Nothobranchius furzeri: one gene and its partners. The main gene of each other region encodes a partner of the protein of the gene in region 3 in a complex. Links are inferred from orthologs where the notes say so. Each region holds a gene or a part of one and is shown on either strand. Other genes may lie near its edges.

Region 1 (10,684 bases), on a different chromosome or scaffold from region 3:
CATAATGTACCAGTTTACATCATAGCATACCTCTTAGCCAATAGCAGTGGCAGTTTTAAATTCAAATACAGTGCAGAGTTTTGACCTGACAACGGCCCAACACTGACAGTTTTAAGCAGAATATTTAAATTTTAACTAAGATGCACTGAAGTGCCAAATTATTGACTACACGTGTCTGCAGCACGACTAGACATTCATTTATTTAGTTTATCAGCAAAAAAAAGTTGATTTGGGGGTGACTTGCTCTTTAAACGTCTTCATGCAGCTGATAACTAAACAGAGAAATGTGCTGCTATGGTTATTCAAAGCCACGCGTTTGGAAGATAAACTGAAAACCAAAACAAAAGAATGCTCCATAGAAAAAAAGTTGTAATATCAGGATCCCTTTATATGTTCCGTGACGTCATATCTATGACACGCGGTTCAGTTGAGGATCGTGGTGGGTTTTTATGAAACTTCTGAAGAGTGTTTTGATTTCATTTGCTTTTGATGTTTTTATGTTCATATTGATTTGTGTGTCTGCATCTACCACAGTTCCCGAGCGCTGCCACTGCTGCAGCTCATTGCTCCCTACAGGTCAGGGAGGGCTCAAATGCACAGATGTAATTTCACCAGTGAGTGATGATGACTAATGGGACTTAAACTTTATTATCTTAATGATGGTGTGGAAGAATGAAGGCAATTGTCTTTGGGAAACACGAATAAAGAAACTAACTAGCATCTCAACCTTTTTTCAGGAACAGTTCGCTGCAGCAGAAAGTTAAGCTTTTTAACCAGCCATGACGTCATCCGCATGTTTTTGTTTCATATGTCCTGAAAGGTTTGTGATTCCAGCCTCCAACCAAACCCTGTTAAGCCATCGACCTGTCTGGTATCTAGAGCTGACTTTATTCAAACTTGAATGTGGTTGAAAATAAAATGTTTTGACCTGCAGACACCTGTTCAGCAGCATACTGCAAAGGGCTCGTTACATCATAATGAAGTAAGGAGCATTACAGCTGACATTTACCTGGTGACAGCACACCCTACACAACAATTCAAAACATTGGTCTCAACATCTGCTCCTCCCTAACGGTGCCTGTGCAGTCTGCCCACTTTTAAATATGATAGGGGGAGCGCCACCTATGTTTGTGTGAATATCTGCTGTGGCTGATTCCCAAAGAGCCGAGCCGTTTCGAATACACCACCTTCTCCTAGGAGTTGGCAGAAAAAGAAACCATATTACACGTCTGCTGAACTGACTCACAAAGACTAAAATATCATGCATTCTAGTGAGTCTGATTGTTGCCAGAATCCGTCCCTCAGGCCAGGTGGACAGGAACAGTGTGTGCGAGGTCATGTTTATTTTTTTATAGTTACAAAGGATTATTCCTACAGAGAAAAAGGGACTGATTAAGACGCCAAAATATTAGTCCTTGATTGATGCAACGTTGATTTGAATTTTGGAAGTGACTTTGTTCTTTATCCAGTAAGACCTGCAGCTCACCCATCGATATACATTATATATATATATATATATTATATATATATATATATATAGATATATATATAGATATATATATAAAGAGAGAGCTCACCCAGTCTGCCTTCAGTTTGTCCAGCATGATCAGATGATGAGGGCTAATTACTCCAGGCTGCAGCATGTTTATGTCAGCGTCGAGTGCTTGGCGATGCAAATAGTGAGATAAATGAGCAACTTGTATTTGTGCTACACAACATGAGTTGCATCAGAACATTTATGACACAAACGGGTAGGTTCAAGAAACAATTAAAATCTTTAATATTTGACAAAAATCTTCTCAAATATTTAACAAATAAGTGTTCATTTTCTTAAGACCAACAGGTGTTTTAATTAAGGCTTTTTGGACCCCCGTCTCTGGGTTTATACAGTCGGTGTCAGAGCACTGCTGGGACAGAAACCGCAGCTTCCCGTTTGATGAGACAGGTCAGAGGACAAAAGACACTTATGGAAAAGACACCAAGAGAGGAAGGCCTGCAGTTGACTTCCTGAGACAAACTAAAGAGGCATTTCCAGTTCTTTAAGACTCACTCTGATGCAGTAAGAACACATCTGGCTTCCAGTTGCTTCCATATGGAGCTAAACACAGAACCAGTTAGTTACTGGCCAAATGTGTGTAGAAGGATACATAATTAAGTTCAAGTATAACAGGTTTAAAGCTACAAAGCAAGACCCTATTAGAGTCCATGAGTGCAGGTTCGCAGAATAAAAGCTGTCTCTCCCGCTACAGTCGACTGCTTTTATTAATCATTTCACCATCTTGCTTTGGCTTTCTGATGAACATTTAGTACTGTAGCAAACACCATATTTGATTTTTAAGACGATGTTCTCTGATATGTGGCAAGTAGACTTAAGTTCAAAATATTTTACCGACTCTCACAAAAAAAAAATGAAGTATTGTTTGGAAATGGTAAAGACCAAGAGATAAATTAATAAATATGCATTCTTCACAAGTCAAGTTTGATGGTTTAAAGGGATATTTTGTGAAATTATATATATTTTTTTAATTTCTGCTGCTTAGTGCTACAAAATAAAACAAAAAAGGCTAGCAGAAACTTCAAAATGAAAGCTCAATAATGTAAACGTGAAAAGCAGAAGCATAAGAGTCTAGACTCTAATGACAGCTGTCCTGCCTCTGGTGGGTTTAAAGCACCGCCATTAGAGGAGATGCATTTCTAACTCCAGAGGCAGGAATCACTACAGCATGAGCAGAGCCAGAAAACTACAGAGATTTGTTGGTGGAAAGACAAAACTCAGATGAGTGGATGAGTAAGACCAATCCTGGTGAACAGGTTTGTGACAAGCTCCTTCATCCAGTCTTCCTCACATTGGCCTTCATCCTGATTCTTCAGTCACTTTCACTTCCTGATTCACTCAGCTGGAGGTCATTCTCTGCAAGGAGATATTTGAAGAAGTGTTAAGACTGCACACTGTCATGGTGGTAGCTATAAATCCCTTGACACGTGACATCAAGAGTACGAGCCTCCCAGCCTCAGACTGGAGGGTCAGAAGAAGGTTCAACAGTGTTATCTGTCAGTTGTCAATAATTGGTTAACTAAAATCTGTCAGCTTGGTTAACACATGCAGCGCCGCGGGCTGCACAAACAGACGAAAGGACAGTAATGTCAAAGTTACAGGTTTCCAGCTGATAAAATATACAGAAGGCGTTGGTTAACTGCCATGAAGAGAGTATCCGAGTTGTCCACATTGTGGCAGAAAAGGTTTCATGACAGAATAAAAAAGTTAAGAATCTTCCCCACAAAGTCTGAAGACGAAGAAACAATCTGGGCCAGACACAGCTGTCAATAAATCACAGAGTACCAAACCAACCATAACCCTAACACACCGTAGTCCGTTATTAAAGTGTGTGTAATAAACCTCTGAGTTTAAGCACATTTAATTGTATAGATGTTAACAACTATGTTCATTTACAATCAAAACCACATATAAAATATAGAATTTATATATTACAATATACTCATGAGTCCTATTTTATCTTCCAACAGGAGAGCCCTAACCCCAACAAGGACATTTCCTGTTTGTGGTGAACAAATGACTTCAAAATAAAAGAAAAACAAAAATAACTATTTTTCTATTTTGACAGAAAATCCTGAAGAGTTGACTGATAATTAAATTAGTCAAGAGATGAAGGGTCATAACAGCTGTTGCGACAGCCCTAATGGCAGTTTAACCTCCAGCTATAATAACAGCAGCAGGGTTTTGTTGTGGTTCAGCCTCAGACTCTGAAATTCCAGCAGGTGTTGGGAAATTTCCCTGACGTGTGCAACCTTTCTGAAATCTTCACCTCCTGACAACAGTAAAACATCTACAGTTCTTTCTATAAGACACTCAACTGTAAAATGTATTTAGCATACATTAAAGTTTGAAAAAAGGCCGTGATTAAAACACAGGAGATACGGCAGATCATTGTAATCCCTTCACTTAGTAAATCCATGTGTGTCTGCAAGAATAATGCACAACCACAACAACTTAGTGTTTAAAAAAAGAACTGGTTCAGTCACATATGTGGGCAAAAGCTGCAGGGTCACCGAGGTTACTCACTGAGTGTGTTCATGAGTCCTCCCCCGCTCTCTTGGAGGCGACTGGTGGAGCTGGTGTTGATGATAGGCATGCTCTGATTGGCCGAGGGCGCTGCAGGAGTCTGCTCCTCTTCTGAATCGCTGCTGCTTGAACTGTCGTCACTGCTGGAGGACGAGCTGTTGGACTCTGATGAGCTGTCGCCACTGCTGAGCTGATCCATGACCTGCGCCTCTGCCATCAACTCTGCTCCAGACACACAGAAATAAGCATATTGATGGAGCACAACCACAACCAAGACGTACAGCCTTAATGAACACAAACAAAGCTGTGTCACCTCTCTCTATGTCATCCATCGGTGAAGGTGAAGAGGCTTTCTCTTTGGGGGGAGAGCTCTTGGAGCTGGATGAGGTTTTGCTCGTGCCGCTGCTGTTGCTCTTCATTTGCTGACTCAGGCGACTGGTTTGCTGCTCTAGACGAGAGTGGATTTTACTGCTGCCCTCAGCCCTGGAATGTCACATAAAAGAGGGGAAATATATATAAAGAACATTTCTAATTAAAAATTCTACTCATTACTTTGGGTTAAATACACTTAAAACAATTAAGTGTTTTGCCAATTCTGTGCAAATCTTTCTTGGTTAAGAATTTAGAAGGGATCAAATCTAATTTCAACAGCTAAAAGAAAAGCTTTTCTAAAAAAAAAAAATCAACACATTGGTTTGCATTAAATCACTAATCATAATAGTGAATGCTTTAAAAAATAAGGAAGCCTTTTTATCTCACCTGGTCTTCTTCACGGCTATGTTGCTATTGAGTTTTTCTAGTCTGTACTCTCCTGTATCGTGGTTCACAATGAGGATGCATTCTTTCATGTAAGGCCTCTTAGATCCACTGAAGACTGTAACAGGAGCACTTGAACCCTTAAAAAGGAAAACCAAAATATTAAATTATACGTGTCTGTTTTTATTAAAAATATTAAAGTTTAACTCTTGGAAGGAAAAGGTGCTAAAGATAGTTGTAATTTATTGTAAGTAGGGCTGGGCAATAAATCGAAAAGTTATCGTTATCAAAATTTCTGACTGTTAACGAGAATTTTTCCCATGTCAATAAATTTGCTAATTTAAAAAAATGAAAAAATGTGTGTGGGTTGGCGACGTTCATGTCCCTTTAAGCTGCACCACCTTGAGTCATGTAAAAATATGACTCAATACATGTGACAGCCCCATCTAGTGGACAACTTTTGTTTCTGTGCATACATGTAGTTATCGTCCATTTATCGTTATCGAGGTGAAATCCTTAATATATCGTGATTTTGATTTTAAGCCATATCGCCCAGCCCTTAATTGAGAGTGTAATAAAAACAATTTGAAATAAATAAAAATGTATTTTGAAGGAAAACGGTAAAATATATTAATCATTGTAATTGTTCTGTCTTGAATAAAGAGACAGAAATTCTAAGGTTTTTGTTTTATTTTACTAACCTCTAAATTTGGTAAAGTAATTTTGACTTGGTCTCCTTTGCCAACTTCAAGTTCTCCTTCACATGCTGTATCAATCGATGCTGGTTTGAAGTCATCTGTCACAGATAAAGGTAGAAAAAGGTCTCGAGTGAAACATGAAACACAGCGCTTTGTGATTTATATCTGTGAAAGGCGCTATATAAATAAACTTTTACTTACTTACTTACATTTTACTAGACAATACATGTTTTGGCGATACAGTTCATTCTTCCAGCCACAAGGTGGTGCTAAATTCCTACCTAACGCTGCTGCGCTAACACGTTAGCTGGCACTTTCACGGTTAATGGCAACAATGGCTTTTATTATTCACGTAAACTGACAGTTCCACAATAAAAGCCGACAATTTAGCAGAACACTGAAGGAGCACACTGAGAAATATAATCGAGCGCGGCGATAGAACTGTATGCCGGATGGCAAACGGTAATCTCAGCATGTTTAGCTTTAATGCTAACTAGCATGCGTCTGTTAGCTACAGTGAAAAGCCAGACGTCACCGACGAATAAAAAAACACTTACATCGCACTGTGTGGTAAGAGCTTTTGGGGTGTTTCTCGAACGTCTCTCCCAATTTCAGGACATGTTCCTGGTTGTCAAAGTTGGAGAAAGTTGTCCCATTCATTCTGACTAACACGAACCGTATACAAAAGTTTCCTCCGTGTTTTTGATGCCAAACGCAGGTAATGCTGGCAGAAGAAACGTTTAAGTCCCGCCCATTAGTAAAGTCTCCTAATTATTATTGGGTGACAAGATTTTTGCGCTTTTCTGGTTGGATGAAGACCTGTCAGTTAAGCACTTGTATTGATTGGGCAGCTACAGTGAAAAGGTGACAATTTTTAAAATGTGGACAATAACTTATGTAAATACCCACAGCTATTAAAACTTTTAATTCATAATTTCCTGAAAAAAAATTTCTGTTTTATTTATCATTTGAGGTAAATAAGAGACAACACATAGTTTTTGGTTTGTTTATTTTTGTTTATTTTGGAATGACGCTCATGTTTTATGTGTTTCCCAAAGTTAGGGCCATGACCTCACCTGAAGTAAAAAATAATAATCATTAAAAAAAAAACAAGTTTAAGGTTTGGAGATGTGCTCCAAAATGAATTATATAAAAAATGAATACACTATGTAATTTGACACAACAATAGCAATTTCAAGTGAAGCTTTTTTTGGTCCTTATTTCAGGTGTTTAGCTAGTTTTTTATCTATAGTTGTGTTGTTAGACAAGTTTTATCAGGGTTGCAAGTCTTTGCTCTTGTAATATTATGAGTGAGAAATAGCAAAAGTGGAAAAAGTGAACATTATATTGCAGAACAAGCACAATATTGTTCACTGAGGATATTGTGGATGAAAAAACATAAATGTAATTAAACAAAAAGCTGTATTTTAATAAACTGGTACAAAGTTCAGTGTTACATGAAATAAAATAAACATCAACTCACCTGAAAAGTTATTATAATCCAAAATCTGAATTAAAAAGCCATTAGAAGAAGAATTGACATGTATCAAATAATCATCACATCCTCCATTATGACCACGTCCTGCATGACTGAGACTACACTCCAGCTACTATTAGGCACCAAAGTTCTGACATTAATATTATTGATCAACAATGCAGGAAATAAAAAAATGCCATCTGCATCTGAAGAAGAGATTTGAACTTTCCCCTCAAAAAACTATGGGGAACTATTCCTTGTAAATTATAAAAATAAAGACCTTTGTTCTTTGGGCAAATGCCCTCAGTGCTGAGATCATATGATTTTGGGTTATAGCTGTTAGCTTTGAGGGGCCATCTTGAATGGGGTTGACTCTCATAATAATTGCTGATCCTGTTCTGTTGTAATATTAGTGTCCTTAACAAACATCGGCTCCTCTATCTGAACCAAATTACCAGCCTCACTGGGCAGAGCGCCTCAGACACAGCATGTGGACATCCTGCAGCTCTGATTGTAATGAGCTGCAGCAGAAACACTTACTGATCGCAGATTTGAGCCTCTCTGGCTCTGAGAAGCTCTGAGCTCCATGAACCTTGTGGCTGTTAAAATAATCTCTTTTCCTTTCTTTAAACTGCTAATGAATCCTAAGCCTTAAATCCTTCACTCTGCCTGAAATTTACTGAGACCATATGTTCTCTTGCCTTAGTTAGCAGGTCAGCATCTAACAAGTGGAGAGTCAGGCTTTAACACAAGTGTGTGATCACCAGCTGATCACAACAGTTGTCTCGTGTCATGGTCCACATGAGGAAATAGTGCATATGTCCACGTCCATGTCGACTCACTAATTGTCAGCTCTGCCTAAAGATGCAGAATGCAGCCCTCATATAATGGAAAACAGGATTGTTTGGGCAATCGTCATGGCTCATATTTATTGTTATCCGGTTACCGAGGAGGGACAGTCTTTTGTGATGGGAACCCTTTAAATTTGACGAGCTTTGAAAATGGACCAAGACAAATTATAAAAAGACCGGATTCCTGTTTCATCCTGAATCCCGTGTGAAAAGACAACAGCATGGGTCTGTTTCCATGGATGGAGGTAAACACTGACTGTCCTTTGGTGATATCAGTTACTTTAGGGGTTGCCCCTGGACTGCAGGAGGTGAGGTTTACGGTTTTTGAGCAACTAAATCCTCCAGTCACAGCAGAGGATTCCTATTGAATCTGAGGATAGCACCTGTCTGCTGGGAGAGGCGGAGCCTGAGCAGGCTCTACCAACCTGGATGAAATCAGTAATAATGGAAGCCATTTTCACAATTACTCTCTGGAATAGTCTCATTTTTGTTTATTTAACTTGGATAATTTAAATTCCCATCAAACCATCTGATGCAAATTTATTACATACTATTTGTCAGTGCGTTCCAGTTACTACAACATGTACCACGAATATCAACATGCACCAGCCAGATGTGTCCAGGGACAACAAACCCACCTGCCAGCACATTATTTTGTATTTAGACCTGCAGATACCTTATCTTGTTTGTTGAGTCCTTAACCAGAGTATGTTGGGAAGCAAAAATTTAATGTTTCTATGATATACAAAACCTAGATTCGCTTGTTCCCCTTATTTCCAAGTATTTAGTCCAGGGGTGTCAAATACACGGCCCGCGGGCCGGATCCGGCCCGCGAGATGGTTGTGTAAACTTTATTTTCATACTTTACAATGTAGAGTGAAAATAAACTTATCTTTGTGAGCAAGTTTTCTCTGTAATGAGTATAAATAAAACAAAGCTGCGCTCAAGGCTCACACAAGAACTTGAATCACATCCTGAAGTCGGCTGCCACTCAGGATGTGACTTCTGATGTTGATGTGCTGGTGAAAGCTAAAAGATGTAAAGTAAAATGAGTCAAATATATTTTAAGTGCTGCATGAAACTGATCTAGCCATGTGATCTGTAAGCTCTTTGAATCACTAAGGAATGTTTTTTTAATTGATTGATTTTTATTTTTATTTTTTCAAATTTTCAAGTACACTTCAGGTGTCGTACTATTTTGGATACCCTGTCCTCAGGCTCCAGCTTTGTTTTATATTGATTGTATTAAAACAAAGAAAACAATCTGAAGTTTTTTTTAATTTACCGGTCCGGCCAACTTTGGTCTAGATTTCCCTCAATGTGGCCCCTGAGCTAAAATGAGTTTGACACCCCTGATTTAGTCACAATATTCTAAGTAAGTGTTTAAAAGTTGCTCCAAAATGTCACGCCACTCCTTTAGCCCCATAATGCGCCAGATACTTTGAAAGTGCAGTCACGAAAACTCAGCTTCATTAAAAAAAAATTCCAGTAAACCTTAAGAGTTATGAGGTTTATTTTCATGTTTTTGTTGCATCTGCTCTGGGGTTGGCTGCATTCATACTGTAGCTCACGAGTCCTGAAGAACATAAATACAATCTAAATGAATGCAATAATCCTGGAGATGGAGATGTTTCTATTAGAACTAGTGCAAAACTTTTAATACCAAATTTCCATTGAGACTTACTTGTTTTATGATCTCTAAGATGAACTTTCATATGAATATTTTATATGGAGATCAAACTGCAACAAGTGCATGTACAAATGTTTAAATAAAGAATCAGCCTTTTCAGTATATTTGGTCACGGTGACGAGAAGAGGCTCCAGCAGCTGTGAGAGGAGGCCCAGAGCTGACATCCTGATGTGAGTCTGGAGGGGTCATAGAGGGGGGTGAATGGACTTTTTCATCTGAGCCAATCAGGAACAAGTCTGGTCTTGTCCTGTGCTAAATTCACTTGCCAAAGTTAAGGTGTGAAAAATAACGAGCTGTGGCATGGCATGGGTCTGCAAACTGTAGCTCTGGGGCCACTTTGTGGCTTTTAGCATTAGCAAATAATTATAACTACTTAAGCTTTTATGTTAACTTTGTCATTCTGTTATTTGTTTATCAGTCAATCAATCAATCAATCAATCAATCAATCAATCAATCAATCAATCAATCAATCAATCAATCAATCAATCAATCAATCAATCAATCAATCAATCAAAGCTTTATTTCAATCAAAGCTTTATTTATAAAGCGCCTTCCGCAACCCTGTCAGGAAGCCCAAAGCGCTGAACATTGTACAGATGTATGTAAATATATTGAATAAATCAACAATAAAAGAAATTCAAATTACAAAATACAAATTACAAAATACAAAATGGAAATTACAAGATAGAAATCGATCGATCAATCAATCAATCAATCAATCAATCAATCAATCAATCAATCAATCAATCAATCAATCAATCAATCAATCAATCAATCAATCAATCAATCAATCAATCAACCAACCAATCAATCAATCATCAATCAATCAATCAATCAATCAATCAATCAATCAATCAATCAATCAATCAATAATCATCAATCAATCAATCAATCAATCAATCATAGCTTTATTTATGTAGCGCCTTCCGCAGCCCTATCGGGAAGCTCAAGGCGCTGAACATGGTACAAGAGAAAGTTAAATAAATATGGTGAATAAATCGAAAATAAAAGCAATTAAATTACAAATTACAACAAAAGGTAAAACATTCTAGTAGAATACTAATGGGTAAAACAAGGGATAGAGTGAACCAATGAAAACAGGGAAATTAAATCAACATAAAAGAGGGCCAA
Region 2 (10,398 bases), on a different chromosome or scaffold from region 3:
CAGTAATTTCATAAATTATATTTATTCTAAACATACATTTTTGGTGACAGGGCGATTATGGTTAGGGTTATTTTTGTGAGTGGATGGTTCCAACTTGTAGCTGGGTGGAAGAGAAAGATCTCGACGAGCTCTGGTTTGTGACTGGCTTAGAAAAAAATGGAGCGGACAAACCTGGGACTGCAGTCTGCTTCCAGCAAGTCTCCAGTGTGTTTTAGATCACGAACACAGCTGATTTGTTTCATTTAGTTATGAATCACTTCTGTATACACTAATGAAGGCTGACGAGACATTTCAGCTGTTAGATTAAGATGTTAAAAAAGACGAACGCCTGCCGAGGAGGTAAGTTTCTATTTTGGTTCTACTAAACGGACACTAGGGGGTGCTAAAAGCAAGCAAAACCACCTAGTCTCCAAAATACATTATCAGTTTTCTAATCAATAATGCAAAAAATTACTATCATTCTAGAGCCACACCTTATTTGAAAAGCAGAAAAAAAAACTAAAAAAAGTTTAAAACTTTTTTTGTGACTTCTGCAAGATTTTAATAACTTCAGCTTTGTACAGAATAGGTGTCACAAAAACAAGCTTTGAAGTAAAAAAAAAAAAACACAACAAAATGGTGTTGCAGAGCACCGTCTGGATGTTCATTCTTCCACTTATAATAGAAGTAAAAACAGGCTGAAGATGTTTAAAGTCCAGTTCACAATTCTGAGATTTTAGAACAGTAAAAGTACTCGTTTAGACTAAATTTCCAGTAGTTGGTGCAGTTTTTGCTTTGATTGCTTAGCGAGTCACCACAAGGACAAATGAGAGGAACAAATCAAAATAACTGATTTTTATGTCCAAAAAAATAAAGTTTCTCACCCTAAAGAAAGTGTTATATTTCTATTCTTTGACACTATTGTGTTTAACACATCAACAATGGGCAGATTTATGAATCACAACTTTTCAAAATGAATAAAAGAAAAATTTAAATGATCTATTGTCTTCTCTAGCAGTAACCGTCCTGTAGCATCAGCACCATTCACAACAAAACTGGGATTTATGTGATTAATAAGAATACAGAAAAGAAAGCGTGGGGCCGCCATTCTTAATGTGTTAATATTTATACCAACAACATCATTTAACACCATTTTCACAGACATTAACACTCAACACAGCTCAGCCAGAACATCACCATCAGTGGAAGGGAAGGACTTTGTTCAAATCCAAACATCTGCTTAGAAAAAAACCTCTTGAGTGATGATTTCTGCAGCTCGCTTTTTTTTTAAATGAGCCAAAGTCATTAAAACCATTTGCGTAGGAAGGCAGAATTCTACAAAACCAGATCAAATGGCACTAAAAACCAGCAGCTGCATCCAGTTATATTTGATCTAAATCTGCCACCAAGTTCCAGTGGTCAGCATTTAGCAACAACTAGTTTTTTAATGTTTTTAACAAATTTAATTTTGTTTTAACCTCAAACGGTCAGTATTATTATTGTTATTGTTATTATTATGTTTACTTATATCATAAAATCTGCAGATTAAAGGAAAAGGCGCTGATGTCACTGGTGCGGTTAACAAAAAACAAAACAAAAAAAAAACAAACAAACGCAGAAACACAACCATTCAACACCATTACATATGAACTCCTGCATATCTTTTACATGAGATCAACTCTTTGGCTTATTTCTGAACTAATACATTCACCCTCATGTCTTCACTGAAACGCTGCAAGGCATTAAAATGTAATACGGAGTGGTTTCATTCAGAATCAGAAATGATGGAATATTTGTTAAAAAGGGAAAAAAAACTTGTCTGAAACTAACTACATTTGTTTTCTTTCTCATCAGAAACCCTGATTTGTCATCATTTCTTGTCTCCATGGTAACTGCTTGTTATCTGACCTCTGATGTGGTTAATTAAAAGAATTCAACAAAACATTTTAGCTTTTCTGAACCCGTAGTTTTGAATTCATCTCTAAAAAATTGTGCATTATTTTAGGGTTTATTTGTATTTTTTGATGTTTCAATCAAATAAGAACTATCTTCCTAAAATGTTTTTAGAAACCAAATTAAAGCTGAAATTAGAAGGTCACCAGAAAAAGTAAAAACACATTTGTGGTTCGGGGTCTTTTGCTGCCCCCTTGTGGCCGGAAAAATAACTGCAAGACATTTATTGTTTAATTATTCCATTTCAACAAAATTTTAACCAGCATGAGTTGAATTTTGACGTGTTGTTTCAGAACCTAAAGCAACGTCGGACATTCCCAAAGACTAATAAAAATATACATTATCAAATTAGTTATAAGGAAATGTTTTGGGAATGAATGAAATAATCCATCCACAATAATCGGCACCTTCTCTGTTAAGACTTGGGAGGAAAAAAGTGCATTTTTTAAAATTGTTACTTGTTGCAGAGTTTTGCTGATTTTTCTGTTTTTTTGCTGTTTTTTCATCCAACTAATAAAACACTAATACGCATGGAGAGAAGACTTCCACTACAGGGAAAAAGCTTTTTCATACTAGCCTCATCATAAAAAAGGAGAAAAATAGATCAATTATGCAGATAAAACTAGTGTTTTTTATAAGTACTTAAAATATGTCTGAACACTCTTTATAATCTTCTACATCCTAAAGTAAAACTCTGTTTTTTCCTATACAAAACAAAATGCACATCTAATAAAATGCTATCCTAAGGTTTCTGGGTGGCTATAATAAAATAAAATGTTAAAAAAATACAGTCAAACCAGAAACTTAAAGCTGAGGTCAAAAATCACAGCAAGTGAACGCAAGAACCAGGAAGCGAGGAGGAGGAGGAGTGTGGAGGAGGAGAGCGACTTCAGTCGTCATCACTATCGCTGCCCGACTCGCTGAGCTGAAGATCGCTTCCTGTGGAGGAAAAAGAAAAGTAATAATCTAAGTGAGTAAACTAACTCGTCTGGAATGTATCATCTGAGGAAATCCTGTAATAACACATAAAAATGTGAAGGCACTAACTGATAAATGCAGAGATTTAAAAACAGAAACAGGAGAATCAGCGTTTACGCAGAGCTACTCACGGAGTGTGTTCATGAGCTGGTTGTTGCCCTGCTGCCGGTCTCCTCCGCCGTTGGTGATGGGGGTGCAGCTGGGGGAGGTCTGGCTGAGCGGTTGCGGGGGGGCGTCGTGCTCACCATCGCTACTGCTGCTGTCGTCGCCGCTCCCCGAGCCGCTGGCTGAATCGGACGAGCTGCTGCCGCTGCTGCTCATCTGCTCGATCACCTCCACCTCCGCCCGCAGCTCTGCCAGCGGCAGCAGGTCAGAGACATTATTGGTTCTGGGTTCATTTCACACCAGTTACAATATCCAGCTGATATTTTAGCTAGAATCAGTTTGAGACACACCAGTTCCATCTTGTGACAGAACCTTCTCACCTCGTTTGATGTCATCCAGCTGAGGCTCTGGGGACGGGTTGTCCTTCGTGTGGGAGGGTGAGGTTTTGTTCCCGGCCCCTGGTTTGGTCGGGGCTCGGAACTGAGAGCTTGTCTGGGAGGAACGGACGGACTGCTGCTCGATTCGGGCCTGGATCTTACTGCTGCCCTCCGCCCTATAAAAAATAAACACGGCAGACTCACCAACTGTTGCTCCTTTCTGCTCCCCACTTTAGAATGAATGATTTATCAAGTGTGAAAAAGTAATATACAATTCTCCCACCTTGTTTTCTTGACCTGGATGCTGCTGCTGAGCTTCTCCAGGACAAATTCCCCCGTGTCGTGGTTAATGATGAGCACACAATCCTTCTGATACAACCGCTTGTTTCCTTTAAATACCGTCATTGGAGGCGTGGAGCCCTGGAAGAGTATGTAACTTTACTTGATCCTTTGATTTTTCTTAATAAAATCATACAAAGGGGCTTTTACTTGTTTATTTTATTGGTTCCTGATGTAACTAGATGAAACTGAAACTACATTTAAACATAATCAACTATGATTACTCAACCTAAGCTGCTATCTGACTTTGTTAGCAGAGGGAAAGCACTTGATTGACACTTAATAACATTAATAATGTTGAATAACCATAACTGTGAGCCAGCTGACACAAATGTGAGAATGGTGCTTTGTTGTTTACGTCTCTGCAACCTTACTGGAATATGAGGTAGTGTTATGGTAACTTCATCTCCTTTCCCAACTTGTAGCTCTCCCTCACAGCTCGTGTCGATCGATGCTGGTTTGAAGTCATCTAAGAATAAATAAATAAATTAGGCATGAATCAAGTCCTTTCACTGCTTAGAAAAACTTAAATAAATAGAAAAAGAAGTAAATTATATAATTATTAGAGATGTATGATATATCTGCATCAATATCGAGTATTGGCCGATGTTAGTACATTTTTAACATACCAGTCCGACAATTAAAACTGGGCCGATTTTAAGAACTGATATTTTTTCCATCTTATTTCCGTTTGTGTATGTTTCAGAGGGTAAGGGGCAGTTATGATGTGTAATTGTTGAGACATGTGACCGTGATGGTAATCATCTGGCGACGGTGGCACAGGAGTTAAGTGCTCGCCCTGTAATCGGAAGGTTGCAGGTTCGAGCCCCGCTCAGTCTGTTGCTGTCGTTGTGTCCTTGGGCAAGACCCATGTTATCTGCTGGTGGTGGTCGGAAGGACCGGTGGCGCCAGTGCTCAGCAGCCTCGCCTCTGTCAGTGCGCCCCAGAGCAGCTGTGGCTACATCGTAGCTCATCCCCACCAGTGTGTGAATGTGTGTGTGAATGGGTGAATGACTGGTTGTGTTGTAAAGCACCTTGGGGGGTTCCAGGACTCTAGACGGCGCTATATCAAATACAGGCCATTTACCATTTACCAGAAGCGTACGTGTGTGTGTGTGTGTGTGTGTGTGTGTGTGTGTGTGTATAACATAATGCAAATTCAACTTCATAGAAATAAAGCAAAACATTCCAAAATTCAACTTGCATAATTTCAGTCTATTCAAAATCTGCTGATTTCAGATGCATAAAACGGTATTGGCCAATATTGGTTATCGGCCATAACAGTGATACTAATCTCGGTACCGGCCCAAAAAATTCATATTGGTGCATCCCTTATTATTATTAATTATTTAGTTTCTAAAAATGAAAGAGATTCAAACTTAGCTAATCACCCTTATATGTTTTAAATTATAACTTTGCTTGACTCTGCTAATATGACATTAATTTACAAACCGGGAAATATTTAAATAATGTGCTGCTGGTATTTGGGTGAAATGTGCATTTATTAATTATTGGTCACACTGTCTACTTGGCTTAGGAAATGTTTAAATAAACAAAGCAAAATTAAGTAAAAGTTGAATGATGATCAGTTAATAATTGATAATAACCAAGGACTTAAAAAAAAAACATTAAACCCCACAATTTAACTTTCTATTTTTTACATAATAAACACATTTCTGTTCAGCAATTTCTTTCAGTTCGGTGTTTTGCAGTTCATACATGTAAATCAAATTTTCTCATTTATTGTGTACTTCTGTAACCGTAATGAATGTAATAGCTGTATCACTGTGAGCTAATTACTTCCAACCAACAGCTGACTTTACTAAAAGCTTTTAGAAACACAAAGTGGTCTCTTTCACACTCACATCTGATGGTGTGAAAAGATGATTTTGGCCTTTTCTCGAAGCTCTCTCCGAGCTTCAGAACATGTTCCTCTTTGTCCAGCAGTGGATTTGTGTTTCCGTTCATGACTTCGTCTGGTTGAAACCGGATTAAATTTTACATTTGTGTTACAACCGAAAAACAGAGCTATATCCAGCAACTACCGGAGATGATAATCTAAATAAAGATAAAGTTAGCTTGCAGATGCTAACCTTTAGCAAAACAACACTTACGTCACGCGACTGCAGCTTTTTCGGTGTTAAGTGAAAAACGGTTTACTCGTATATCAGTGTGCGGGTTTTCCGTTCTGAATTCTTGGAAAATAAATATGTTTACCTCATTGAACAATTATTCAGTTATTAGTATTTGACTTAAGTATGAATTTATTTTTACCGAACACAGATTAAATAATTTTAAAAAGTAATATTTTCCGTACGTTTTTGCCATGCTGTGATGACTAATGTTTTAATTAAACTATCAAAAGTTTTCAGTTTAGTTATTTTATTATCAGATAATTGGTTTAAACAACAAAGTTAAAGGGGAAACTCGCTTAAAATAGGAGGAGAAACTGTTGTTGTGAGGAAACATATCTCGGCGTAACACTGCCTTTGGTCCGAGCATCAAATACCACCGACGGAAAACCAGACTGGGTGTAAGTGATTTCAGAGCTGTTAAAAATATTTGTAACTTATTTAAACAATAAAATTGTACAGTCAAAATTTATATTATATTTTGTATAAATTTTGTGTTTTAAAGCGTTGACCACCGTGGTATTTTTTTTAATAACACCAACCGGTACCGGTGTCATCGATGCTGCACAAGATGGATGCCAAGTGTGGAAAAATATTACCTCCTTTTTCTTCCTATTGAAGCTTATATAAAGCTTTATTTTATAAACAAACTATCAGAGAGAACGGCAATCTAACACAACAATGGCGTTAATGACAAATGAAAAGTGCAAAGTTGAAGACATTGAAGAAGTGGAACCCGAAACAAAGGTGGAGTCACGGGGACGAGAAACAAAACTTTGCTCTGTCAGAGATTTAACTCCAGAGGAACGGGACAGACTGAGCAGTGAGCGGACGCTGGTATCTGATTTCAAACAAATTAAGCTGGAGAAAGAAGCGCAGAAAAATTGGGACTTGTTTTATAAAAGAAACACCACGAATTTCTTTAAAGACAGACACTGGACCACCAGAGAGTTTGAGGAGCTTAAAGCCTGTCGGGAGGTGAGCGGATAAGGGGTGTTTGATTAAACTTAGCATATGTAGTGTAGAATGAACTTAGTTTATGTAAAGAATATCAACGTTTCACAGTGATTTGAGGCCAAACGGACAACAAAGTGATGATTTTGGGTCACGTGGTCTGTCTCTTTGCAGTTCGAGTCCCAGAAACTGATTCTGCTGGAAGCTGGATGCGGGGTTGGGAACTGCATCTTCCCCCTTCTGGAGGATGACCTCAACATCTTTGTTTATGCCTGTGACTTTTCTCCTCGGGCAGTTGATTTTGTCAAAGTAAGGTGCTTAACTGTGTACTTGTGGAAATCCACCTTTTCTAGCACGTCTAGTTAATCTTAGTGCTCTAGAAGTTAAAAATAAAAATGAAAAAAAGCTTTGCTGCAGTGTAGCTGCCTTTGATGCCATTTGTGGTAAAACCCGGTTCAGCTGCCTTAACAGGAGATTTCAAGGGCTAAGAGTAACCAAATGGGAAAAAAACAGCATTTAAAGATGTAAACATTTGTTTTGTTATTTGTTTTTATTAATCAGGAAAACCCTCTTTACTGCACTGAGCGCTGTTGTGCTTTCCAGTGTGACTTAACAAGAGATGATCTGATGGAAAATGTCCCAGAAGGCAGCGTCGATGTTGTCACGCTCATCTTTGTCCTGTCGGCCATCCATCCCGACAAGATGAAGCTGGTTTTGGAGAACATCAGCAAGGTAGAGTTAAGAGCTGAGACCACCACGCACAATTCACTCAATTCAGGTGGAACTTAAAGGTGCAGTAAGTAAGAGTGACATCCTGTGGTCAAACATGGTTACTGCAGTCTATTTTTTTGAGTACAAATCACTTTTTATGCAAACCTGCACAAAACTGGCATTCAGCGATGTAACAATCTACATGTGGCTTTAAGGTGCTGAAGCCCGGTGGTGTTGTCTTGTTCAGGGACTATGGCATGTACGACCACGCCATGCTCCGGTTTAAATCTGGAAACAAGCTTGGGGAGAACTTCTACGTTCGCCAGGATGGAACAAGGTCCTACTTCTTCTCCAAAGGTCAGCAGAGTATTTCTGTTCAGTCAACTCAGTCTCAAGTGAAAGAGGGGACATGTTGCACATTTAAAATTATTGAATTGATTATATATGAATTTGTTTTTTTTTTCCTCCTCCTGGAATCTTGCTGTTTTCAACTTTTCAGAGTTTCTGGCTAAGCTGTTTCTGGAGGCGGGCTTTGACCTTGTGTCCAACGAGTACGTTCTGAGAGAGACGGTAAACAAGAAGGAAGGACTGTGTGTTCCGAGGGTTTTCCTTCAGAGCAAATTCATCAGACCTGCACATCCACAGAGCTCCTGATGTCACTGTTAACTCACAAATCTCTAAGGGAAGACTGACATGTCAGGTTTGGACTGGATGGAAAAATGTACAAGTTCTGTATGATGGGAAGCCATCATAGGACCACAAGGGGTTTGGGGACATTTTAAAAGAAAGTGTTCACTTTTCTTACAAAATATTTATAAGCTGTGTAACATTTACTCTGTAAATAAATTCTGAGCTTATTCAGCTCTGATGTTGAGTTGAGGGGAAGCATTTATTTTTCAGGGGCACGTGGTGGACAGTGGGGGTTGTGGACATGGCAGGGCACGGGTGCCCTGTCTGTTGAGTAGATCCCAAACAGGTGCCTCCTGCCCCAGAAGATGTTTAAATTGTTTAAAACCAGTGTTGTGCATCATGAAGGAAGAGGAGAGCCAAATGTTCAAGGATAAAAGTCTGTTAAAACCAATTTCTCTGCCAAAAGTGGAAGTGGCACCACAGGTAAAAACAGACGTGTAAGGTTTTTAAAAGATTAAAAAAAGTGGATAAAATCACATTTCAGGAGCTCAAATTGCTGCTTGCAGATGTCAATATAAGCCTTAATCACATGTGGTTGGAGCGCAATGAGACCAGGGATCTTTCCTGAAATATCCATTTATGGTGGCTCCAGGAAAAGACAAGAGTGAACGCTCTTCTCATCTGCACATTCCTGACACTGGAGTCTAAGCGTGGTGGGCGTGTCTGCATGTTGTTCACTGTAACAGGTGTTTTGCAGTTCATACGGATGCTGATGCATGCATGTTTACAGCACTTCAGAAACCCTTTCCCCACACACTTTCAAAGTGAAATGCTATGGTGTTGGCAACAGGGAAATGGTTCTGAGGGTCTTTCCCTTTTATTATTTAGCTAAAAAACCCTGAAACTGTTTTATGTTCCATTGTTTAACATGCTGGTTGTGTTGAGTCAAGGTGCCAAGTCCAGCTCTGGTTTGTTGCCTTGAAAGAATGGGGGGTTTGCGCCCTCTTGTGGCCAAAACTAGAAAAAGCACTCTAGAAGGGAAGATGGGGAGTTGCTGCCCCCAAGTGGCTGAAAGCGGGTACTACACAGTTGTGCTTAGCTATTCATAACAGAATATTGTAGTCTCCTTATTTTAATGAAGCTTTAAAATAATGTGTTTTTTTTTGGCTTCTTGAAAATATGAATAAGAAGGAAAAGGATGAACCATAGAAGGAGAAGAGGAAACTGGATTTATAAAGTTGGAAGAGTTAGAAACTTAAGTTCTTTCAGAATCAAATAATACTGGATTTTTGTGTTGGAAACAGTAAAACTCACGATAAGGGTCTGTTATATAAATGTTAATTGCATCACATTAATATTTTGTCCCTGCACGAGTCCACTGTGGTGAAACTGAAGGGTCTTTGCTACTTTTCAGCATGCTCTAAATGTGGCTTCCTGTTTCCTTTAGCAAGAGAAGGTTAGCACCACAAAGCTTTAGTGATGGAAATATTTGATGAACCTACTTAAGTCCACACAAACATGAATTTTGTTCCTAAAATTGTGTTACTGTTGCCAGATTTAACTTCAGATTTTCATTTGTCATGAAGTCAGAAGACTGCTATCAGTTGATGCTCGACTCAAGGCCAGATGCAAATCCAGACAAACACTAAGTCACCCAAACCCTATTTTTAATCAATAATCACCCTAAAAGTATCTCAGAGTTTAGAAAACTTTAATTGCTTTTGTGAAAACGCTTCTGTGATCAAGTTCAAATGGTTGCAAAAGTATTTGCTTATTATCAGCAGCACCTACTAGCCCAAGCTGATCTTTCTCTGACACAAAGTAGCGTAAGGTGATCTGTACATCACTAAGACAGACGGACTGATCTGTTTGAACCTGCTGGAGTAGCAGAATGTAAAACCTGATAACCCCACACATGAGCAAGTTTGAAGAGATTTACTTTAAAGGTGCAGTAGAATGTAAAACCATAATTATCTTGTTCAAACTGTAAATTCCCACTGGCACGAAAATGAAAGCATCACATTAGATTTTAAACACAAAGAATAAGACATTTACAATTTACAAAAGAAATCAGTTGAGTGACTTAAGAGAAAGGATGAATGTGTCAAACGGCTTCCTGTTTGTCCCAATATTATTGAAACCTCATGCCAATAAGTGACTCAGAGACGCTGTCGACCTGCAAGAGAAGAAAACCAAAGAGGCATTAGTGTGAAGAAAGAGAGCGAAATGTCCATGCGTCT
Region 3 (10,717 bases):
ATGACTGAGAACTACACCTCCATGCTGCAGCAGCTTCAGTCAGAACAGGAACTTAAATGTAGCTGCTGTCAGCAGGGGCGTGTCCAGGGGGTGGCCTGGGGTAGCACATGCCACCCTTGGAATCTGATTGGCCACCCCAGGTTCCGCCACACTAATTTACCTTTAAACAGGCTTTTCATTGTCCACAAGGCTTGGGGGTAAAACAAAAAAAGCATAACCACTGGTGCCACCCATGCACAAAATTGTGCCTCACCTGGGCCACCCCATTTTAAAAGATCTGGACACGCCACTGGCTGTTAGTAACAATCTAACAGATTTTAAACATTAAAACTCAACAGAAATAGTTCAGAAAGGAAATTTAAATGTTCACAACTTTGTGTGTGATTTATTATTATAATTATTCATAGTGGCAGAAGCTGGTGTGGTCCACCACAGAGAAAGCTGCTCTAGCATGATGACTAATTATTCCACAGGTTATTGTTCAGCCTTCTGACGCTCACACACACTCACACACGTGTTTTTATTTCTGCAGTGAGACAAACTCACCTCACACCGTCCAGAGTTTGTTCTTTAAAGCTTCTATTAAATCCACCGTCTTGACGTATTTTAATAAGTTTCCTCTACGCTGCAGGAGTTCATGTTTACATCACGGAGTAAAAGTTCGGCAGACGCGTTTGTTTACATCTGGGTGGGGGAGGGGGACTCGGTGCTGCACACAGACAGCTGGTGTGATGATCAGCTCTGAAAAGCCTTGATCACAATTTGCAGATCGCGTTTATTCTTCACGGAGATCGGCCGCGGATTCCTCTTCCGTCGGCACTAGGAACCGAAATGAAAAACTAGCAGTTGGAACCGATTCCAATCGATGCCCAGTCGGTACAACTCACCGTGTGCACTTAGGTCTCCACAGCAAGACTTACTAGTAGCTCCTAGTCGGTAAAATGCTTGACCAGAAGAGGCGGGGCCTTCTCGGTTTTGGCCCCTAAGCTGTGGAATGACCTTCCACTTGAGGTCCAACGCCCCCACTGCTGCTTTAAAGGAGTCGGAAGACTCGATTTTATTTTGACCATAGAACAATTATAACCGAAGTGTCTCCTTTATTATCAGAATGTTTCAGGGGAAATCAGTTTCACAGGCTCTACAATAAAAATGTGAATAAACATAAAATACACGAAATTCAAACAGAAACACTTAACAGATTTTAAAAATGTAAAATGCAAGTAAAACAAAAGCAAAAAAGAAAATGCGTAAAAGCAAAGTTTAGATGTCGAACAGATCTCTCATATTTATATAATTAGACTATTTCTACCAGACAACTAAAATGTTGCCTGATTTCAAGTAAAAAAGGTTAATGACTCGGGGTGTGTGATCCTGACGCCATGTTCAGGGCAGGTGCTGACACCTGGTGGTCAGACGAGTCCGCTGCAGTCTGAGGAACCAGCAGACCAGTCCGTTTTATCTCATCAATAGAGAAGTGCTGCTCCACTCAAGGTACTAGAACATCTGTTGCCATGGAGACGAAGACACCAACCTGCTGCAGGTCCCGGCTCCATTTAGTCCTGGAACACGTGATTCATTCAAAGAAGAAAAAAGGTTTTTATTTGTGTTTTTGATTCAAACACAAAAAAAACTTAAAACTAAAGTTTGGGTCAGAACCACGTGCAGTCAGAGTAAGCTGTTCCTGTAGAACCAGAACGGTCATCACTCAAACGAGACCGAGCAGCGAGCCCAGCGGGACGCCTAAAGCAGGAAACGGGAATGTTCTCCCCGCCGGGGAAACAAAAGTTCTGTTGGCCCATTTGCCGGTACCGCACTAGAACACTCGGTCGAACTCAGTCTGGCTGGTGGTGGCCGGGTTCCGGTTCTGGTTGGGCTGCTGCTGGGGCATATGGCCTCTCCGTCTGGGCGGAGCCAGATACTCAAACATGGAGGTGTTGTGAGTGGACAGCATGTTCTTCAGGTCCGATGGCATCGGGTCACACCAGAAGAAGTCATGGTTGAGCGCGTCGTCGCTGTCGATACGCTGCGATGGGTCCAGAACCAGGAGTTTGTCGATGAGGTCCAGAGCACACGCGTCTTTAACGTAGGCCTTCAGGCGGTCCTTCACCTTCCTCTTCTGGCCTTTGGGCAGCTCCATCTTCTGGTACAGCTCATACTTCTTGTCCACAGTGGGCCAGACCTCAGCTGTGATGGAGCCGCACAGCTGGCTGATGAGAGTCAGCTGGTGCTGCTCGGTGTTCCCCTGCATGATGGGACTCCTGGTCCACATCTCCGCCATGATGCAACCCGCTCCCCACAGGTCTATGGGGGGTCCGTAGTCCCGCTCACCTGAAGGACACAGAGCCAGGTTCTGTTAGAGGGTTCTTTGTTACAGAACGTTCCTTCAGAAGTCCAGAGAGGCTCATACCCAGCAGCAGCTCCGGAGGTCGGTACCAGAGCGTGACGACCCGGTTGGTGTAGCGGTTCCCCTGACTGTTCTTAGCCAGGCTGAAGGCCCGAGCCAAGCCAAAGTCCGCCAGCTTCAGGACGCCGTCTCTGGTGATGAGCACGTTGGCGGCCTTCATGTCTCGGTGCAGAATCTGAACCAGAACACACGATTTAGGACCGGGCCCACTTGAGACCGGGTCTTTAATGTTCTGCTTCTGATCGGTCTCACCTTGTTCCTGTGGATGTAGTACAGCCCGTTCAGCAGCATCTGCATCACCTTCTTGATCTCTGCCAGCGTGAATTTCACATTAGCGTTGCTCAGCAGCCCGGCCAGGTCGTGCTCGCAGAAGTCGAACACCAGGTAGATGCTGCCTTTGTACCGGTTGAACTGGGTCGCTGCAACAACAAAAACACTGGGTGTCACCTTCAGCTCCAGCAGCAGATGGTTCCTGCAGCTGAAGATCCGGCCTGAAGCCACTAACCTTTGGTTCTGCAGATCTCAATCAGGTTCACCACGTTCTCGTGTTTCAGCAGCTGCAGGATCTTGATCTCCCTCAGAGCTGTGATGGGGAACTGAAACGAAACGAAGACTGAGCGATGCTGGAGATGCGGTCCACGCGGTGATATTAATGAGACGACTCGGGTCATTTGTTTATGTTCATATTACTTTAACCAAAGTGAGCTGTAATCTAAGACAGCGGTGTCGTCCCTCTCATGTCTCCATCTGTGCATGAAAATGGTTCTCCACCTTCACACAGCTGATCATCAGTGGTGATCAATACATCTACCCAGCTGTTGAAGTTCTCCAGACTGAATGAAGGAGCCTCAGTGAAAGACTCCTGTCATGTCTGCACCACATATTTCTATCCTGAACTCAGATAAGAGCTCTCCAGCATTCACCCCACCACCTTCAAACCAGTGAGAAGTTCTAACGTGTTCTTCAGCTTCACCAGAGTCAAAATGATTGGGAGGTCAGGGGTTCGATTCCTGGACGGGTCATACCAAAGACTTTGAAAAAATGGGACCCAATGCCTCCCTGCTTGACACTCAGCATAGGGGTTGGATTGGGGGGTTAAACCACCAAATAGTTCCAGAGCGCGGCTTGTCTGCAGCTCACCGCTCCCGCAGGGGATGGGTCAAATGCGGAGAATAAATTTCGCACACACACCTGTGTGTGTGACAACTAATGGGACTTTAACTTTAGATGCTGTGAACCCCCCCCCCCCCCCCCCCCAATTGGTGGACTTCAGCCTGGCGAGGTCATCAGCTGGAGGAGTCAATGTGCTCTTCACGCCTCCCAAGATCTCCCTCCCACCTGTGACTGTACAGTAGATGAGCGCCTTATGGGCCATTCCCATCTGTACCGGGTCGGCCCGGGCCGGGTAGCGTAGGTTGTTTACATATCTGGGTGGCCTGGTATTTTTCCGGGCCAACCAAGGCTCATTCTCAGCCCTCTTCTCGAGGGGGTCTGCTTCAGGCCGACCAGGGCCAACACACCCACTGCTGACAGCAAATTCACACCTTCCATTAGAGCAAGCCTCTGATTGGTGGGTAGAATCAGCCCACATGGGCTTAAGGAAAGGGTGTGTGGAATCAACCGGGCCAGGCTGGGGCCGACTGGGGCTACCTGGCCCAGGCTGACCCGGTACAGATGGGAATGGCCCATCTGATGGCTGCTCTCGCTGGGGGAAGAAGGATCCCAGCCCCACCCCGCCTTCCTATTGGGAGTCTCATGTTGTGGACTGTTGATGTTCATGCTTATATGTCTGAGGTGTTTTTTTGCAGAGCAAAGCTGCCCTCCCTGTGGAGGGTAGCTCTGAAGTGCCTTTTTTCCCTCCACCTGAACCAATCCTCATGTAACCCTCTTATCTCTATTAAGGTAGCGCGACTCAGGGTTGCGAATGACCACAGTCACCAATTCTTGTCATGTGTCTTGCCCATGTGTGTCTGATCTCTGAATTGTGTGTACTGAAACTCTAATTTCCCTCTGGGATTAATAAAGTATCTTTGATTTGATCTCAGCTGTGATTTTAACCACAACAAGCAGCAACAGAAACTCAGATCTGTCTTGTTTCAGGCTCTCTTCAGGCTGCAGGAGAGCAGGGGCCACTCTGGGACGTGGATCAGGGATGCACCCATGACCGTACCAGTATCAGGTACTGCCCAGACACAACACAACCAATACCGACCACGTGGGTCCACTGTGGTGGACGTTAAACCCTGTTCACTTGTTCTAAGCTTTAGCGCACTCGAGTGGGGATCCAATTAGAGCCCTGCAATGGGACTGGTATCCCACGGGTCCCAATGCTAATCTCAGCAAGGCGAGCGACTGAGGACAAAACTGTGGGCACCACATTAACCTGCTAGAAGATGGAGAGTTCAACTGAGGTAGCTAACATGGAGAGGCGGGTTTGGACGCGGATGCTGTGAGAGCCGGTGGTGATGAAGAAATCAGCTCTAGTTCGAGCCTCTGAGGCCCAGGAACATCCAGCTGTTCAGACCCATATGATTGCCAGCTTCACACTTCAGATCATAACTGACGTAAAGTCTTTCAACATCTCTAAATGAGCTACCAGGTTCTCGTCTCTCACCCCTTCCTTTTCATTTTCCATCAGGACTTTCTTCAGAGCAACCTTCTTCTGCGTCTGCCGGTGCTTGGCTTTGAACACCTCCCTGAAAAGACACAAACACACGTTTATCCTGTTTTAGAACAAGGACTTAAATGTTATTGACAAGCGCAAACCCTAATTTCAGAGTAAACATTAGAAATCAGGATCAGTAACAGTCTTGATCCAGTTACCTGTAACCCCTTAAGGCAGGGGTACCCATGTTTTAGTTTTAACCACACCTGATTTTAATCAGCGGGTGATTAACAGGCTTCTGCAGAGCCTGATGAGCTGCTGTACAGTGATTTAACCACTAAAGCGTGTTGGAGCAGAGAAACCGCTAAAACATGCTTTATACCGGCCCGCCAGTGCCAGTTGGCACCCCGAATTAGGTCTTCCTGACGGTCCATCATGGTTTTTCTTTGGATCTTTACTGAGTTTCCGTCCCTGCTGCAACTAAAGACCCTGAAACAGAGCTAGCCCTCCTCTGTGTGCACAACACAGCCAGAACATGGCCGATGCTACATCAGCTAGCACCGCTAGCACAAACACAGACCCGTTCACTTTACCGCACAATGAAACGTCTCAAACACGTCTGTCTCACCCGAAGGTTCCCTGTCCTATCTTGGCCAGTTTCTCGTACTTGGAGAACTCGTCGCAGAAAGGAAACTCCACTCCGTCGTAATATTTGGACATTATGGCGGCCTCGCGGTCCGGCCTGGTGGGGACAAAGAGGTTAGACTGAATATCAGGAAACTTATAGACAGAAAAACCAAGACACACCACACAGACATACCCAAAAACTTAAATATAAAACATATATAACAAATGAGCGAATTCGTAGTTGGAAATCTTACTTTTCAGCCGCGCCAGCGCTGCTAGCTTTCTCCCGCTGCATGACTGCGTTGACGTTCGCCTTTCTTCTTCTTCTTCTGTTTAATGGAGGGTTGGAAACAAACCACAGAGGATATTCTGCCACCAACTGGACAGCAGATGTAACTACAAGTCCCCCAAGGACACGTTCAAAACCCAAAACTCACCCCCAAATCAACTTTTTCCACCCGAATAAACAGGCCCCGGTGTCGGTACAGGATCTGCTCGGGTGCAGAACCGGCTCGGGGTCCTTCGACTGCCGATGACGTCAAAGTAGTTGATTGGCTGAACATGAAGCTTACGGAAGTTACGTTATCACGTTTGATTTTAATTGGTCAGAACAAATTTGCGGTCGTAGTCTTAGCGGTTGTAGTCCTGTAGTCCAAAAATCAACACTTTTTGGAGAAAATATGTTTGAATTTCTAAAGGAAATGTAAAATATAAGCAAATGATAAACGGTGACCCTCAAAAGTTCTTGATGTTGATGAAATAGGGCAAAATAAAATATAAGAAGTTTACTGAAAGACACCAAGAAATATTTTGAGTCAAAGAATGTATTTAGATAACAACTAAGGAAATATACAGACGAAGTCCCCATTAATACAAACAGATATGGCTTCACATGTAAGAACTGTTCTATTTTTTGTCAGTCTGATGTTGGTTTTATGCAGTTTCACATTTTTTACAAAACAAAGATAATATGGTGTTTTATTAACAAATTAGAATTATAAAGAAAACATTTAGGTTGATTCTCCAAATCTGAGACCATGGTTCTCGACCGGGAAAGGGTGGCTTGCCAACTCCGGGTCGGGGGAGAGGTCCTACCTCAAGTGGAGGAGTTTAAGTATCTCGGGGGTCTTGTTCACGAGTGAGGGTAGGAGGGATCGGGAGATCGACAGGCGGATTGGTTTGGCGTCTGCAGTGATGCGGACGCTGAGCCGATCTGTCGTGGGGAAGAGGGAGCTGAGCCAGAAAGCCAGGCTCTCGATTTACCGGTCGATCTACGTCCCAATCCTCACCTATGGTCATGAGCTTTGGGTAATGACCAAAAGAACGAGATCGCGGATACAAGCGGCCGAAATGAGTTTCCTCCGTAGGGTGGCCGGGCTCAGCCTTAGAGATAGGGTGAGGAGCTCGGACATTCGGGAGGGACTCGGAGTAGAACCGCTGCTCCTCCGGATCGAAAGGAGTCAGTTGAGGTGGTTTGGGCATCTGGTCAGGATGCCTCCTGGACGCCTCCCCGGGGAGGTGTTTCGGGCATGTCCTGCCGGCAGAAGGTCCCCGGGTCGACCCAGGACACGTTGGAGAGGTTACATCTCCAATCTGGTCTGGGAACGCCTTGGGGTCCTGCCGGAGGAGCTGGTGGACAAGGCCGGGGAGAGGACGGCCTGGAGCTCCCTAGTTGGGATGCTGCCCCCGCGACCCGGACCCGGATAAGCGGAGGAAGACGACGACGACGACATTTAGGTGTTAACGAACAAGAATTTATTAACAAAACTGCTGATGTCTTTCCAAAACGTATGTGTGAAAGCCGAGTAGAGTTGCAGTCATGTGACAGAAGGTCCTAGCCAGGAGACGCTGATGGTGGATGCTAACGTAAAGCGTATATCCAGTGTCTTTATTTGTATTTACTTCTAGTTTTCTAAATGTGGCAAGGTGGAGAAACGAGGGCCCGGGTGGGATTTGATCCCCAGACTACCGGAAGTACCAAAAATTGCAGTTCCACCGTCATCCACTAGGGGCTGGTGTCAGAAGCGAGCAAATCCTCATTGACTCCCATGTTAAAAATACCAATTTCATAGCAGAAATAAACATGTTTACAGCCTGGTACCAAAACATGTTTTTGGTTTAAATGATCTAGTTTACACTCATGACAACTCTGAGGGGGGTGAATTTTTTTCTCACTCTTCTGTTTAAGTGTGTTAAAAGCCTAAAATTCTGTATAATTAATGAGCATCAGACCCACGTGACCACAGAGCTAGCTCCATGGAAAGGCCTCAGTAGAGCCTCGGTCTGGCCTGGAAACTGTTCCGGCATCTTGAGTCTCTGTTTGTTTTTTCTGTTTTGGATATTTTTTGTGCAATTGTTGGACAAAATGACTTGCTGTGGCATTAATTGCACTAATAGAGCGTCCAAGGAGTCTCCACTTCATTTTTTTCAGTAAGTAAAATTATATTTATGTATTTTAGGTCACTGCCGAGCTGAGCTTAGATTTTAACATGTACTGTTTAACCATGAAATGTAAATGTAATAGGGTAAAACCCAGTGCATTTAACATAACGCTGCATGTCGGCTTCTGAATTTTGCAATACACCAGGCACCTGCCTACTCCTTACAGCAGAAACCTAGTTATCATGAATTCAAATTTACAAATATATTTTACATCCTCCATGGAAAGCAGAGACAGACAGATGATGTATCCACCCAGGAGCGTTTCATTGTCTATTTTCTATCAGAAGCTAACACAGGAGATAGGTGTAGGAGACTATTTTCTATCCAGCTAACACAGGTGTAGCATGGATAATCTACGTACTAGCATATAACGCTGTTTGCTATCAGCTTTGTTGGATCCTGAGAATGATCAAGCAAATTAGCATATGAAGCTTATATCATGTATAAATATCCAGGATACTTATATAATCTATATAAGTTCATTATACTGTTGTGCTTCTTTTTCGGTGTTTTTTGGTTTGTTTGGTTTTTCTTTTTTTCTCCATAACTGGTGAATCTGCAAACTTACACATTCTCTGTTTACCATATGTTGTTTTGTTTATTTTTTTAATATATTTTTTTCATATGTTGTTTGTTTAATTTAAGACTGAAAGAAAATTAAATGAATAAGAGGTAAAACTTGGGGGTAGGGACAAATAATACTTCTTCCTACTCCTTTTCAAACAAATAATGAAATTATATTTTGTAATGATACGTGTGAAATGTTTGAAAAAAAAAAGAACTGAACTGAACATCCAGTCAAAACCTGTTTGCACGCTGCAAAGCTGACACAGCCGCACGACTCCTTAAGAGTCCATCCGTCTTAGACGCAACCAACCTTCATGTCTGTTGTGACCTGGAGACAACTCAAGACTGATCTGGTCGTTCTGCGGTTATTCTACGAACTTCGGTGCCTTGAGGTCCACCAGACTTCCTGACATTCCAGATCTGAACGGGGGTCTCCATCAGGGTTCGTAGACACAACAGATTGTGTCTGATGTTGTTTTATTAATAATCAACTCTCTAGTTTATAGCAGACCAAAATTCTTTTAAACCCAGACCTCACAAGTTGTTCCAGGTACAAAGGTTCTGATATACATCACATTCCATCTCATTTCATTATTCATTGCTTGTCATGTATTATAATTAGTCTAGAAAATAAAGTTTATTTTAATTATGTACTTGACTCTTTCTGAATTAATACGAAGTGTGTTTATGGTCCCGGAATAAGCAAAGAATCCTAAATTCTTCTGGTTAAACATTCAAAGATCAATCAGGTTGATATTCCAAATTTATATAGAATCACCACATCTTATTGGTCATAATTAAACCCTCCAATTCTCTACACCAGCATGCCTTCAACAGAGGAATTAAATGTAATACAAGATATTTTTTGGACTGCATATTTCCCAGGTTGTGATAGGTGGCCAAATACATAGCAAAGTTAATAGAGTGAAGAATCCAAATATAATTGATGAATGAATAACAAGATTGCTAATGTAATTTGTATGTTGAGTTTTTTTTTTTGCAATTTGAGGTCAAGGGATATACAGTAAACATCACAAATGGACAATGGAACCAGTTTACCTTGTAAGATGTTATTTATATATAATATATATATATATATAATATATATTTATATATATATTATATATATATATATATATTATATATATTATATATATATATTATATATATATATATATATATAATATATAATATATATATATTATATATATATATATTATATATATATATATATATATATTTATATATATATATATATATAATATTTATATATATATATATTATATATACAGTATGTCACAAAAGTGAGTACACCCTTTGAATTTTTGTAAATATTTAACTAAACCTTTTCATGGGACAACATTGAAGATATGACACTTTGACACAATGTAGTCAGTCTACAGCTGGTATAGCAGTATAAATCTGCTGTCCCCTCAACGTAACTCAAAACCTTGATCTGCTTTTAGAGGTTCATTTTCTGCTATCTGGAAGTCATCCATGACGTAGATAAGTACCACACAGTATTTACTTTATTTGAGGTGAAGAATAATCTGGAATAGGAGTTGCATTTTGTTTACAAGCAAACATTCCTATCAGATTCCCCTGCAGCTGCTGAACTAGGGGGACGGGGCTCTGCAAACACTGCTGTAAACAGCCCACGTGGTGTCGATGTGAGTGAGCTCTTTGATAAAGTGTGCTTTTCGAAACTATGTTTATGTATTTAGCAGACGCTTTTGTCCAAAGCAACTTACAAGTTATAATGAAGCCAGCAGGTTGCCCTTGAGGCTAACAAAAAACACTAATCAGTCAATCATAGGTGGCACTAAAACAATAGAGCAACTTTCAACAAGTCAGTTATAATGTGCACACGTTCACAACTGTCAGTAATAGGGATGTGTGGCAATACGATACGTATCATGATTCGGGGAGACGATACACTATACCATGATATATTACGACACATTCAGTTAGACAATATTAGCGAGATTTTAAGACTGAATTTATAGTAGTAAAATTCAATAAACAGTCCAAAAAGATACGTAACATGTTTAACATGAGGCATCTGAACCATA

The links.
Region 1: cdk9 (region 3) and eaf2 share a complex: the UniProt entries of both Homo sapiens proteins name them as parts of the super elongation complex. The link is inferred for Nothobranchius furzeri from reciprocal best matches to the Homo sapiens genes CDK9 and EAF2.
Region 2: cdk9 (region 3) and eaf1 share a complex: the UniProt entries of both Homo sapiens proteins name them as parts of the super elongation complex. The link is inferred for Nothobranchius furzeri from reciprocal best matches to the Homo sapiens genes CDK9 and EAF1.

The regions. Positions count from the first base shown.
Region 1 is NC_091754.1:31,265,331-31,276,014, reverse strand, and holds eaf2 (ELL-associated factor 2), read right to left. Parts: upstream 6,279-10,684; 5' UTR 6,196-6,278; coding exon 6,093-6,195; intron 5,634-6,092; coding exon 5,539-5,633; intron 4,978-5,538; coding exon 4,841-4,977; intron 4,565-4,840; coding exon 4,395-4,564; intron 4,304-4,394; coding exon 4,082-4,303; intron 2,912-4,081; coding exon 2,868-2,911; 3' UTR 2,012-2,867; downstream 1-2,011. UniProt on the Homo sapiens protein: Acts as a transcriptional transactivator of TCEA1 elongation activity. Acts as a transcriptional transactivator of ELL and ELL2 elongation activities. Potent inducer of apoptosis in prostatic and non-prostatic cell lines.
Region 2 is NC_091745.1:66,976,364-66,986,761, forward strand, and holds eaf1 (ELL-associated factor 1), read right to left. Parts: upstream 5,889-10,398; 5' UTR 5,700-5,888; coding exon 5,597-5,699; intron 4,201-5,596; coding exon 4,106-4,200; intron 3,813-4,105; coding exon 3,676-3,812; intron 3,569-3,675; coding exon 3,396-3,568; intron 3,264-3,395; coding exon 3,042-3,263; intron 2,872-3,041; coding exon 2,822-2,871; 3' UTR 517-2,821; downstream 1-516. Other genes in the region: tRNA N(3)-methylcytidine methyltransferase METTL6, read left to right, coding at 6,545-6,841, 6,992-7,126, 7,379-7,549, 7,744-7,885, 8,028-8,182. UniProt on the Homo sapiens protein: Acts as a transcriptional transactivator of ELL and ELL2 elongation activities.
Region 3 is NC_091742.1:88,946,286-88,957,002, forward strand, and holds cdk9 (cyclin-dependent kinase 9), read right to left. Parts: upstream 6,036-10,717; 5' UTR 5,932-6,035; coding exon 5,891-5,931; intron 5,752-5,890; coding exon 5,638-5,751; intron 5,101-5,637; coding exon 5,019-5,100; intron 3,001-5,018; coding exon 2,910-3,000; intron 2,824-2,909; coding exon 2,657-2,823; intron 2,580-2,656; coding exon 2,408-2,579; intron 2,329-2,407; coding exon 1,814-2,328; 3' UTR 1,078-1,813; downstream 1-1,077. UniProt on the Homo sapiens protein: Protein kinase involved in the regulation of transcription.